Linked DNA regions of Tribolium castaneum. The protein of the gene in region 1 purifies or fractionates together with the protein of each later gene. This does not show direct contact. Links are inferred from orthologs where the notes say so. Each region holds a gene or a part of one and is shown on either strand. Other genes may lie near its edges.

Region 1 (4,017 bases):
ACTTGAGAATATACAAAAAAATAAACTAATTTTTAAAAACATTCTTAAGTTAAAAAAGTAAAATTTCAGTAAACTTAAGAAAAAATTAATAAACTTCGTCAAAAATTAACCGACTTACCATTAAAAATGGTTTTCTCGGCCTTTCTCGATGTCTTTAGCATATTTTTAAGCGAAAATCTTTGTTTTTTCGCATGATTGATCAGAAAATTAGGTCAAAAATAATATTTTTCGAAGTTATTTCGAACAACTTCCTTAAAAATAAGCCACAAAAGCGCCAAATTGTGTTGAAAATTGTGTTATATTTACCTTTTCGGTACACTTAACAAGTTTAAAGTAAAAAGTGAAATTTCAGTAAATCTGACCAAAAAATCAATAAATTAAGTAAAAAATAAGAAAATGCTTCCTTCCTTCGAGCGTTTTAACGATTATTTCAAGCAATTTCGTCAAAAATAAGCCAAGAATTCAGATATTCTTCGTACTGTTTTTATGTCCATTGTACAATATTGTCATTTGGTAATTTTTCGACCTATTACAGTGAAAAAATTTTTTTGGTCAAAAAAATCGAAAAAGTAGTAAATTAGGGACACCATTTTCAATTTACAATCAATTTTTTCTGGCTTGCTGAACAGGAATTTTCCAAAAACATGCGTTTCTGGTTGAACAAGGTGTAAAAACACTTAAAAATGTCAAAAATTATGCCGGAAAAAATACCAAACCATTATTTTCCATTTTACTGAGCATTTAAGTACATTTTTAAAATAAAAATACAGTTTTTTCACGAAGTTTTATTAACCTGAGTTGAGATATCACCAAAATCAAAATAGGACATCTGACCAGAATTATTCCAAAAATCACTAATTTTGTGTTTTTGTAAGTTTTTTACATAGATTTTCAACGATTCCTCGCTTAAAAACAAGCCAAATCACTTGAGAATACTCAAAAAAATAAACTAATTTTGTAGAAGAAAACTAAAAATTTTATAGGGATAATGAACAAAAAACAGAAAAAAAACATTTTTAAAAACTAAACGAAGACTTCTTTTACAAATTATAGAAATCTCACCTTTTCTGAAAAAAAATTTTTGAAACAAATAATATAAGAGCATATCTATAACGTCAATTTTGATGTAATTTGGTGTTTCTTGTAAAAAAAATACGTATTTACCTCAAAAACATTGGAAAAAAGGGGAAATTTACTATTTTCATCTTTCTTTCGAAAAAACTTTGATTTTAGCGCAATAATGAGCTTGAAAGTACTTGGCATAAAAACTTGCACAGATGCTCGAAAATTATCGACATTTCGACGATTTTTGTCTGAATCCAATGATTTTTAGCTGTTTTTACGTTTATTATGATTTTTTCAGGCAATAGAGCCTCGAAAAAACAAGGCAACGATTACACCAAATATTTAACCTCCTTGTTTCACCGAAACTTCTGACTGAAAAATATGCTAAAGCACGAAAGTACATTCTCGAACTGATTTTGCAATTCTTTGAAGCCTAGTAAAAATATTGGTTAAATAATCTCCAAGTTGAAAAATCTTACAATTTTAGTTTAATTCAAAGGAAAATGTTCTCGAAAAGTAGGAAAATTACTTACTCCTCCTTCCATTCCCAAACTTTGCTAATAAACCCTTCACGTCCAATATCATGTCGTGTTTTTTTCTCGTTTCGCCATAATTTTTTTTCTACTACCACTTGAGTAGCAATTCCGGCATGATCACAGCCAGGGTTCCACAAAGTTGTCTCACCTCTCATTCTATGCCTAATTTAAAAAAAAAACGATTAATTTTTCATTTTAGTTTTAGTGAGATATTACCATCGAACAATGGAATCTTGAATCGCATTGGTCAAAGCATGACCTAAATGGAGCGATCCGGTGACGTTTGGAGGTGGAATTACAATTACAAATTTGCCTCTAGGGTTGGGTTCAGCGATTGACTTTCTCTGTAATTATATTGAGTTCTAGATATCAAAAATGATGACTAACGAAATTATTCTATCAGTCCTTGAATCACGAAAAAATTGAGTAACAATGAGTTACATACATATTTTTTTCCCGAAACATTTCAAACAAGTCTGAAAAATGTTATTCTATGTCTAATTAATTTTGCTGTATTTTTCCAACAGTGTTGCAAACTGCCAAGAAACCAATGCTACCAACCCAAACATTCATTCTTGATCACTCCGTATCTTAATTATAATTACCCCATATTCCGGCTTGAAAAAGCCCTGTTTCTCCCACCAGGAGTACCACGCCGCCTCGACAAACTGGGGGCTATAAGCATCGGGCAAAGCCCCACTGATATCCTTCTTGTCACCCTCTGGTGTCGCTATATTATAAACAGCAGCCTCCTTCACCTCCTTCTTCTTCTCTTTCTTCTGCAAAAAAACCCTCGCGTCACCGCACATATGTTGCATCATTCACCCTTACCTCAGCCTCCTTCTTCGGTGCCGCGTTTTGCTGCTTCTCCAACTTTTGCTTCAACTTGTCCAACTTTGCCTGTTTTTTGGCCTCTTTCTCCAACTGCTTGGCTGTTTTCGGGGGGGCCAAAGCCCCATTTTGGAGCACTGCTTCGTCACACATCGTCCACGGTTTCGTGAACACAGAGCACGTTGTGAAATTGTAATTTGACAGGCAAGTGACGTCAAAAGCCAACCTGCGATAACCTCAAATTTGCCAACTGGTGATTTTTAGAAAAATGGTTTTTGGAGGCACGACCCAACGTTTTGAGTTAATCAAATGGGAGGTTTATTAAATTAATAATACCCATGAACCAAAATTGACCCAAATCACACCACACCAACAAAATAAGATTCAATTTTGGAAATGTATGGTTGGTTGCCTGCTTTAAAGAGTTAAATAAAAAACTGAAAAAAAGGAAAAAAATTGTTAATGATTAAAGGAGCAACTTTTACACTACACAGACTGAGTTTTCACCCCACTTTACCCCGAAATCAGTTTTGTCACACAATGACCTTTTAGCCATTGAATTTTGCTGAATTGAAAAATCTTGTTAAATTTAAATTTCATTATATTCATTCACATTTTTACATAAAATTTTATCATTGTCATCATCATTTATCATTAAAAAAATGATATTAAAGAAACAAACTTTACTGCGTCCAGAAATGTATTATCCCAATTTTTATCCCATTTCACTCATAAACAGGTTTTATCACACAATGCCCTTTTGGACGTTGATACAGCAATAAAAAAGACACTTATTACAAAAAATTGCATAACAAAACTGTTGTCGGAACAATGTTAAAAAAAAATAAAATTTTCTAGCTCCAAAAATACAATATCCCATTTCATCCCAAAATAGGTTTTGTCACACAATGCCCTTTTGGCCATTGATACAGCAATAAAAAAGACACTTATAACAAAAATTTGCATAACAAAATTGTTGTCAAAACAATGATAAAAAATTTTTTTATCCCAATTGTGGAAAAAATTATTTAATGACAAACTATACAAAAAATTCTGAAAATAAAAATCTATTGAAGAAATAAAAATGCTAATTGAATGAAAATATATTGAAAATGCAGAGGTGCCTGATTTTAGTACTAATATGTATGTCCGTACAGTTTGGTCATTTTCTAGGTTGAGAAGAATTCTTACAGAAAACAGCAAATTTAGAACAATATTTAGATTTAACAGTTAATTAATTTTTTTGTCTAACAGACAATTTTAAGTTTTTGACGTGTTTGTTTTTGTGGTGAAATTTATTGCAATAAAAATTGTTTTTATTTTTCCTGTAACAGTAATTTTGACACGTAAAAATCCGGTCTCTAGTTATAACTCTATACTAGTGTCAAGGTTTTGACAAAACCCTCGGTTCTTGTAAAAAAATATTTTATTTAACTCAATACTATTACAATAGCTATGTAAGATAAAAGTATATAACAAGAAAGGCAACCTTATAAAGAATTGTAAAAACCTGTTTTATAAAAAATTACTACTTAAAGACTGCAGCCATGAACTCGGGGAGTATAATTTTCTCGTCCTGCTTGTG
Region 2 (4,123 bases), on another chromosome or scaffold:
AATTCTGGGCCTTTGTCGGCCCAAACCACCCTCTACCCTCTTGTGCTAAAGATAGAGTAGAATTCTTAACATACATCATCCCCTAGAAATTAACCATCCTTAATTAGAAATTTTAAATGAAACCCCCTGCTTTTTGAAGCTACCCCTAACTAAAAAAAGTCAACAAATATTAGTTTTCTCCACGCTTAACTTTATTGCCTCCCATCCAAAAATGTTTCAAAAAGTAGAGAGAGCTATTTAAAATGTTAAAGAAATGTAGGTTTTTAAACTCTACCCTCGCAGACTAAAATATTGTTTGTCTTAATTAAATAGGCTTAAGATCTAGTAGAATAGCAAAACAAATTATTATAAAGGTCATCTATGACTGTTAGACGCGATGTGTCGTTGAATCAAAATTTTGAATGCTGGCAAACAAAAGCAAAAGCGCTTCAAACTTAGAAACTACAGAACATACACAAGAAAATACAAAAACGTAAAACACAAATAAAGACAAACGATACAATTGAAACAACATTGCCTAAAAAAAATGAAAAAACAACTAATTAACAGATCTTACAGAGATGACAGTAAGTACTCAGAAACTACAGCAGTCATTTGAACGAAGCGGTATTGAATTTAGATTCCATAGTCGACTTATTGATGAAGAAGCAGATTTGCACACTCTAGATTATCAAGTAATTAAACACCAAATTATGGAAACTCAAAAAAGCACACAGCCGAATTGCTGCACAAAATACAGGGTAAAATATAAAAATATATTTTTGAAAAAATATTCTTTGTCACTTTTGATCGTTGTTAGAGTCTTTGTCACACCTCCTTTTTGTCGTATTTTTTTAAATCGTTTAACAACACTGAAATCTTCACAAACGTCATCAGCACTGCTTTACAGTATCTATACAGCGTGTTAAGAAATGGTTTAGCAAAAATTTGAAGGTAGATAAAGAATGGCAAAACAAATCGATTAGGTATATTCCCAAAAAATCATTCTGAAGCTAAATTCCTAAATTTTGAGAATCGCTGAACTGGAATTATAAAAATTAGTGTATATTTTAAAATTATTGACAAAACGGCAGAGGTGAATTTACTTTTTGGTCCACTCTGTAATTCTTCTATTTCAACTAGTAAATTTAACCGTCAAAACCCTTAGCCGATGAAACCAATTTCAATAAAGATGATATTTAATTCGCATTGCTAAATAATTTATTCTCCCTATGGAGAATAAAACACAAACACAATTACCGAAGTGACAAACTGTAAACAAATATCTGCTAAAATTTGCAAATAAAACATAGTTTTGTTTTTAACTGGAGCCATCTTTTCTTATTTTTATTTTAAGCAATTGGATTCAAATTGAAAAGTAAAATTATGTCGTTTGAGGTCGGAGTACCTACCGATCCCAAACCGAGGTTTATTGCCATGACATTTTCAAATCACCCTACTGTACTTAATATTGACGAATGTAAAATTTTGAATAAATTTTGAACATAATAAACCAGATATCTATCTATCTATCTATATTCTTGAAATTCGAAGTTGCAATCATATTATGATAGAACCGAAAAACGTTCTTATAAAAACGGCTTACGATCAATGTTTTCCTACACTGTTAATAGATGTAATACATCTGTTAACATTTAACTGATAAATCAGTCACTGTTAGTCAAATAAAAAAAAGTTAAAAATGCAAAAACCATACAGCTGGTTTTGCATCTACACGACTCAAATATGAACCAATTTGTCAATAGTGAAATTGTTATTGCGTTTACTTTTAGACTTTTTCGCGTTGTAAGCAGCCAGACGCTCCTCCCTCAGCTTGGCGGCGGCTTCGTTCTCCTCCTCGGATTCGGAGCCGAACAGATCGACGTCGTCGTCGTCGTCAGCGGCGGGTTTCGGGGCTGGTGCAGGTTTGGGAGCGGAATTGACGCTTTTCTCGACTTTGGAAAGACGCAATTCTAGCTGTTTTATGCTCTCCACCATCGCGTTAATAGCTGTGGAATAATTATTAATTTGGGTTTGAGTGGTTATAAAGCGTACTTTTCTCAAATTCGACGGCCTTTTTCTCGAAGAATTTGATCGCGCCGTGATCAGTGGATTGGGTCTCGGACGCAGGGGCCTGTAATTTTGAGCCGTAAGACAATTGGTCATTGAAAGATTGATGGGTTAGTATGGGATGCAAATGGGTTAAGTCAAGCCTTTACTCACATCTTTAAAAGAATCCCTACTTTGAATAAGAAGTTGTCGCGCCTTGGCAACTTCGCCCGCCAAAGGAGTTACGGACGCCTACACCAAACAGAACACCATTATGTTAATACCAGTACGTCTCGTACTCGAAAATAAACACCCAATTAGTAGGACAAGTGTCACCTAGACAAGAACAATACTTTTGCCGATTTTCCATATGAATTTTGTTAGATTTTGAAGAAATGGAAGCGAATTGAATACTACTCTAAACGGTTTTATTTTTGCACGGTTTCACTGTTCTAGCCACTTACCTTTGCCAAGTTCTCGTAATACTTTGTCTCTGCGTCCTCGTAAATTGATTTGGTGAGCCAAATATTCTCGTATTGCATGTACTCCATTGCGGCTAAAAGTATTTCAGGTTAGAACACACGTGTCGTAATTTTGAAACAAACACAGTCAAGACTATCAAATAACTACTAACAAATTCAATCTTGACTTTGGCTAACTACGCCTACAAAAATTACCTAGAATTTTTGCTGTTTTTTAATAGATTTCTTGTACTCTGTTATATGGGGAGACAGCTGTTCTCGAAAAGGTTATGTCGACAGGGTCGCCAACACAAAAAATAAAATCCCCAGACCCGGGAACACATTTGATTCAAATATGTTTAAATATTTCCAAGTGTTTCGATTAAAACCTAAACTCAAGGACTTATCTCTAAAAGAATACCAGATGTCATTTTTTGCAAAATTTTTATTTGGGCAAGCAGCCATTCCCCAAACTCAAGTAGTACCAAAACAGTTTATTTCAAATTCCAAATATACAAAAATATGTATAAAATACAGTCTTTTTAAGTGACTACAAGACTCTAAATTACGATTAAAATAATCCAAAACAATTTGCTTGACTAAAACTGGAACGACACCAAACGCTATAAAAGTTACATCATAGATCTCGCGTCACGCTAAAACAATTAAGTTAAAATCGAATATATTACAATTGACTAATTTATGCTAATAAATATGATTTGTCTATGACTAAAATTGAAGTGAAATGTTTAGCAAAAATTTACAAAGGTTACAACGCTTCTTTACAAATAGATCTCAATATTTAAAACTATTGATCACAGTTTAGAAAAGGCACTAGTGTAGTGAGATAAATAATACGAACGAGGAAACTAACACTTAAGAACAAGTCATAAAATACACATCTTAACTAGTTACGAACAATAGTAACAACATAAACCCCTAACTAGAATCCTTACTCCCTTCTTGGCCTAAAATAAGCTCAAAAATTTCGTCCAAAGTCATCAAATTGTGGTCAACAGTAGTAGCGCTGGCATCCTCTTTTGCCAGCTCCGTTAAATTCTCAAGTTCTTCAGTCAAATCAACCGTTTCATTGTTTTCCTCTGTTGCAGGAACACTTGTGGTATCTTCATTAGCAGTAGAAGGCCGTAATTTATTCAATCTGTAGATTGTTGCTGTCTCCTAAACAGATTTGTTTAGAAAAACACAAAAACAAAGTCAAACAATACTAACAAAGTACTCCATGCTGGCAATGTGGGTTTGAAACGAGTAATTTTCACTTTGGGGTCCCGATTGCACCCGGCGGAGAAGCCCGGCCGAAAGTCGGCTCATTTCCTCGGGATGAGGGCCACCGAGACAGGAGTACAGACGCGGATCGGGGGCGTCTTTAATAATTATGTAGAACACCTCCATGTAGTCGACGCAAGGCTCCAGTTGCGACCAATCGAAACCTATAAATTGTTATTAACTTTTTGATAATCTTACTTCTGCTTAAGTTTGAACTTTTCTCTTTAATTTTTTCATCGAAAAAATTTGATTTCAAAAACTAAGCACAGAAATTTACATCAACATAATTAGCATTAAAAGCTCCAAAAATGTAAAATAAACAGTAGTGATTCATAAAAAAAACTCATTTC
Region 3 (4,141 bases), on another chromosome or scaffold:
TTTATCGTTTCTGTTTTTAATTCACGGCCATTGGATTTTAGCACTGCTAAACTTGCCAATGGCATTTTGGATGGTGTATGAGTTAGTATCAGTGCCAAGTGGAAATTTGGGGATCTATGACCCCACAGAGATTCACAATAGAGGTCAATTAAAGAAGCATATGAGGGACTGTATGATTTATTTAGGATATTATTTACTGTTCTTTTTTGCGTATCTGTACTGGTGAGTTGTGTCTATTTATATCAAACATTGCGCAACTTGTTTATTTTTAGCATGATTGTGGCTTTGTTGAAAGGTGATCCCCTCAACAGAGACGATCAGTTTGAAGCCGACTTATAGTGTAATAGGTTTATTCAAATAAAACATAAATTATCCTCAAAGCGTTTTATTGAAAGAAAAACAGTTAGGGTTAAACAACTGACAAACGATGGATTTAAATTAAATTATCAAAAGGACATGGTTGTAAAAAAAATATATTACACCTCAGGTTTTACTTAAAGATTTTGCCCTGGTTAAACTTCCTTCCCTTTTTGTCAGTGCCAGTCCATGAGAAGTATTGGGCAACTAATTTTTTAGTCTCTTCTGATTTTGCATCCAATTTCTTCCAATCATACGACTCGTAGTCGATTTGCCAGTCAGGACTCAACTACAAAACTCAATCAAACCAATTTTAAAAACACAGAATCAACGTACAGTGAATGCGAGGTCGTGGCCCCTCCACACCCAAATCCCGGAGATTGAACTGTTATTGTCCTCACCAAAAAGACAAACTGAGGCAAAGGCTTGTTTGCGCATTTTATCCAATCTCTGATACATTCCGGTGATCAAATTGCAGCTCATAAAAATCTTAGTGAGCTCTTCAGGGTACTTATATTCCCCGTACCAAATAGTGTAGTTTTCAGGATCGAACTTCTCCCAGAAATACGGAATTGATTTGGCTTCATCTTCGTTAGAATAAAATCTCTTGAAATCGTCCATATTGAACGTCCCTTTGGGCATGGATTCAAAGGGGTCCTTCGATTTGGGCTCGGCAGCGAGCGCTGCTTCAGCCGCATCCATTTCTTCAACGGGCTCTTTCTCCTTTTTTGGTGTTTCCTTTTTAGGCTGCTGCTGCTGCTTCTTCTCTTTTTTCTCCTCTTTCTTTTTGTTCTTACCTGTTGGTGGAAAAGCAACTAAGCAAGACGAATAAAACCACACTTAACTTACTCTTCTTTTTATTATTTTTCTCCGCAACAATACTGTTAGTATTAGCAGCTTGTAAAATTATTTTTGGGTTAAGGGATTTAACACAGGTTGCAATAAACTGAACAGTACTTAATCCATTATGTGCAGCATATGGACACTAGGATGCAACACATTTATTGCGATAATTGCTTTGAACACCGTCGCATATTTATCAAAATACTAGAAATACTGTTGAAGACAAAAAAAGTCTAGGAATATAAAAAAAGTCCCCGGACTTTTTGCACTTTCCAAACTCGTTAGGTAAACAACTATTACACACTAACGTTAGGAAACAGAAATCGAGTTAGTACCGACGTTTGCTTCCTAGTATTTAACTCTCCATAGTACGGTATACATTATAAACAAGACCATTTACTCATAGAATTTTATGCAGCAAAAGAATTAAATACTGATCATTTGAACCGTTAAAAAAACTTTGGCTTACCTTCACCTCCCTGCGCGCCGGTGAAAGGTTGTGCAACTTTGTCCAAAAATTGCACCTGGCCCAAAACGGCCTTAAACTGAGGTTGGTTGATTAAAGTTGTGAACCATCTGTTAACGTTGACGAATGGTTTTCTAAAGTCGGGATCGAACGCATATTTGTATAAATTTGAAAGATTGCAAGCTACAACAATATCAGCTAAAGTGATACGTTCCCCAACTAGATAAGTACGGGTAAGCAAATGGCTGTCTAGGATTGCCAGAGCAGCCCTCATGTCCTCCTTGGCTCTTGCATATCCCTAGAATCACGAAAACTGGGTCAGTCTAGTGACAAAACTGGGCGAAAATCACTTGTTACAATAATATAACTTAACTGAGCGCCACCGAGACACTCAGTAATGGGTAATTGTCTTAATATACCTCCTTGAGTTACAAATCAACCAACCGGATTGGTTAATTTGCCTTTGAAGGAGGACGCGAGAAAATACGTAATTTACCTCCTCAGTGGCGGCGTTCTTCTTGACAACCCCCAAAATGGGGAACACCCAGGCACAGCCAGCTGGGAGTATCTCCGACTCTCCAAAGCCCACCCATTGCAAAATCTGGGCTTTCTCGTACTCCGACTTGCCTCTCAATTGTTCATTGGCGACGTAGTAAGCAATTGCGTTGCTGTCTTGCAGATACTTGCCATCGTTTGACTCGAAAGCTGGCACCTATACAACTGTCCAGTGTGACTTAACCTCAATTTTGAAGCGCGTCCAGACTCACCTTTCCACTGGGAAATTTCTTTAAGAATTCTTTCGACTTGTTGGTTTCACCGAACACAAAGTTTGGGCTTACTTTAACATTGCTTTTGGAGTACTGGGCAGCGATTAAAGCCTTAGCAGCACGGAAATTGTCGGGATAGGTGTACAGTGTCTGAAAAAATAAACACAAAACTGTCAAAGATAATGCCGGATTTGGGTTATTCAACGGTTTTCTGCCGATGATTGTGTCATAAATGCGAGATATTTGAGGAAATTTCGATAATACTTACTCCTGCAGCCATTGCTCGTCCAATTTCTCACAGAAAAGGACTTGAAGAGTTTGACAGCTGCATAGGGAATTTTGGGCTTGCGGTCTGGTGACGTGTCGGGCTTAGGCCTTTTTTTTTCGATTTTTACAGCCTCGAAATGCCCGCTTTTGTGCAAAAAACAACACTAAATTGCACACATCTTCCAGGAATTATACAAATTATTTTTTTTCTTTAAAAAGGCCCACTAAAAATAACAGAACCGTACTTAGACTTTCTGCCCTAAAGGATTAAATGCCTATTTTCTAGTAGGCTTTATAAGGTACTTTTTATCTTGTATGAAAACCAAGAAAACGCTGATTATAATAATTAATTAAGCTGAAGAACTAAATGCACCTGTCTATCAATTATATACACATTATATACAAAAAAAACGTCTATTCTAATTATAAATTCCGATGATCGCGTGGTATCTTTGTTCCTTGAATAAATAAAAAATACTTGATAATTCCACATAGTAACGTATTTAGGTGCATTGCCGCCTCGGGGTACTTAACTTTGGGCTTTTCTGCCTATGACATAGTCTTTAAAAAAGAAAAAAACATTTATTAGTTAATTCAGAAAAGAAGAAAAAAAATATAAATATTTAAAAATAAACACTTTTTATTAACAGAGAGACATTTTTTGCCATACTTTGGAAAGTTTTAAAAAACTAAAGCCAAAATATAGTACTTTTTACTCTGTTTTTACAGCCTGTTCAATTATCTAAAAAAAATTTGGTGTCGTTTTTTTTGAATTACTAAAAAAATAACACAAAAATTTCTAATTTTTGTTTTTTTTTTTTTACAAGCAAATACCAAAGAAAAAGTAGAACATTCTTCAGGCAATTTTTACAAAAAAATCTAAATCCTTCGTCATTTTTTCCAAGGCGTTCTTGATTACAGAGTTGCAACACTCAACTTTGGGTATTCTTATGAATGCCACATTTGCATTTCGTATTTGTTATAAGTGTTTTTACTTCTGATGACAACGATGTATCATCACGTGATATGATTGAATCTTACATGCAAGAAATCATTTTTGCGAAGAGTGCTTTGGAAAATGTCAAGTCGAATTTTTCTTCTGTGTTTGTTTTATTGAATAAACACTATTATTTTTTTATTTTATTTGTAACTTTGGTTGTGCGATTAATTTATGTTTTTGGTGATTGTTAGATGAACAGAGATTAAGGATATTTTGTATAAAAGTTGCCTGAGCCCGGCCCTGTCCGCTGTTCGCGTTGGCTACCCTGCCCTAACCACGACTCATTACCGATACCAACCTCATAAAATTCAAAACGAAAAGTCATTTCGTTCATGTGATGTGGTCAATGATTAATTAAATTTCAAAAGAATTGAGAAATTGACACGAAATGGCTGATCCCCAAGCCGAGAATAATCCGTCAGCCAACGGCCAAGTGGCCAA

The links. The genes of interacting proteins can lie anywhere in the genome.
Region 2: the proteins of ValRS (region 1) and probable elongation factor 1-delta purify together in Homo sapiens (affinity purification with mass spectrometry; 5 studies listed by BioGRID and IntAct, counting the BioPlex papers as one, with this or other methods). This does not show direct contact. The link is inferred for Tribolium castaneum from reciprocal best matches to the Homo sapiens genes VARS1 and EEF1D.
Region 3: the proteins of ValRS (region 1) and eEF1gamma purify together in Homo sapiens (affinity purification with mass spectrometry; 6 studies listed by BioGRID and IntAct, counting the BioPlex papers as one, with this or other methods). This does not show direct contact. The link is inferred for Tribolium castaneum from reciprocal best matches to the Homo sapiens genes VARS1 and EEF1G.

The regions. Positions count from the first base shown.
Region 1 is NC_087394.1:5,060,676-5,064,692, reverse strand, and holds the start of ValRS (valine--tRNA ligase), read right to left. Parts: upstream 2,828-4,017; 5' UTR 2,586-2,827; coding exon 2,433-2,585; intron 2,381-2,432; coding exon 2,207-2,380; intron 1,946-2,206; coding exon 1,818-1,945; intron 1,764-1,817; coding exon 1,599-1,763; intron 1-1,598. Other genes in the region: uncharacterized protein LOC103313614, read right to left, coding at 3,948-4,017. UniProt on the Homo sapiens protein: Catalyzes the attachment of valine to tRNA(Val).
Region 2 is NC_087403.1:8,552,742-8,556,864, forward strand, and holds the start of probable elongation factor 1-delta, read right to left. Parts: upstream 2,863-4,123; 5' UTR 2,706-2,862; intron 2,591-2,705; exon of another isoform or gene 2,585-2,590; 5' UTR 2,580-2,584; coding exon 2,493-2,579; intron 2,281-2,492; coding exon 2,203-2,280; intron 2,114-2,202; coding exon 2,035-2,113; intron 1,989-2,034; coding exon 1,767-1,988; intron 1-1,766. Other genes in the region: uncharacterized protein CycE, read right to left, coding at 3,429-3,668, 3,720-3,937.
Region 3 is NC_087402.1:7,326,638-7,330,778, forward strand, and holds eEF1gamma (elongation factor 1-gamma), read right to left. Parts: upstream 2,863-4,141; 5' UTR 2,714-2,862; coding exon 2,702-2,713; intron 2,584-2,701; coding exon 2,434-2,583; intron 2,379-2,433; coding exon 2,163-2,378; intron 1,965-2,162; coding exon 1,670-1,964; intron 1,255-1,669; coding exon 1,207-1,254; intron 1,155-1,206; coding exon 694-1,154; intron 647-693; coding exon 491-646; 3' UTR 370-490; downstream 1-369. Other genes in the region: cnir (protein cornichon homolog 4), read left to right, coding at 1-222, 273-339; putative lipid scramblase CLPTM1, read left to right, coding at 4,089-4,141. UniProt on the Homo sapiens protein: Probably plays a role in anchoring the complex to other cellular components.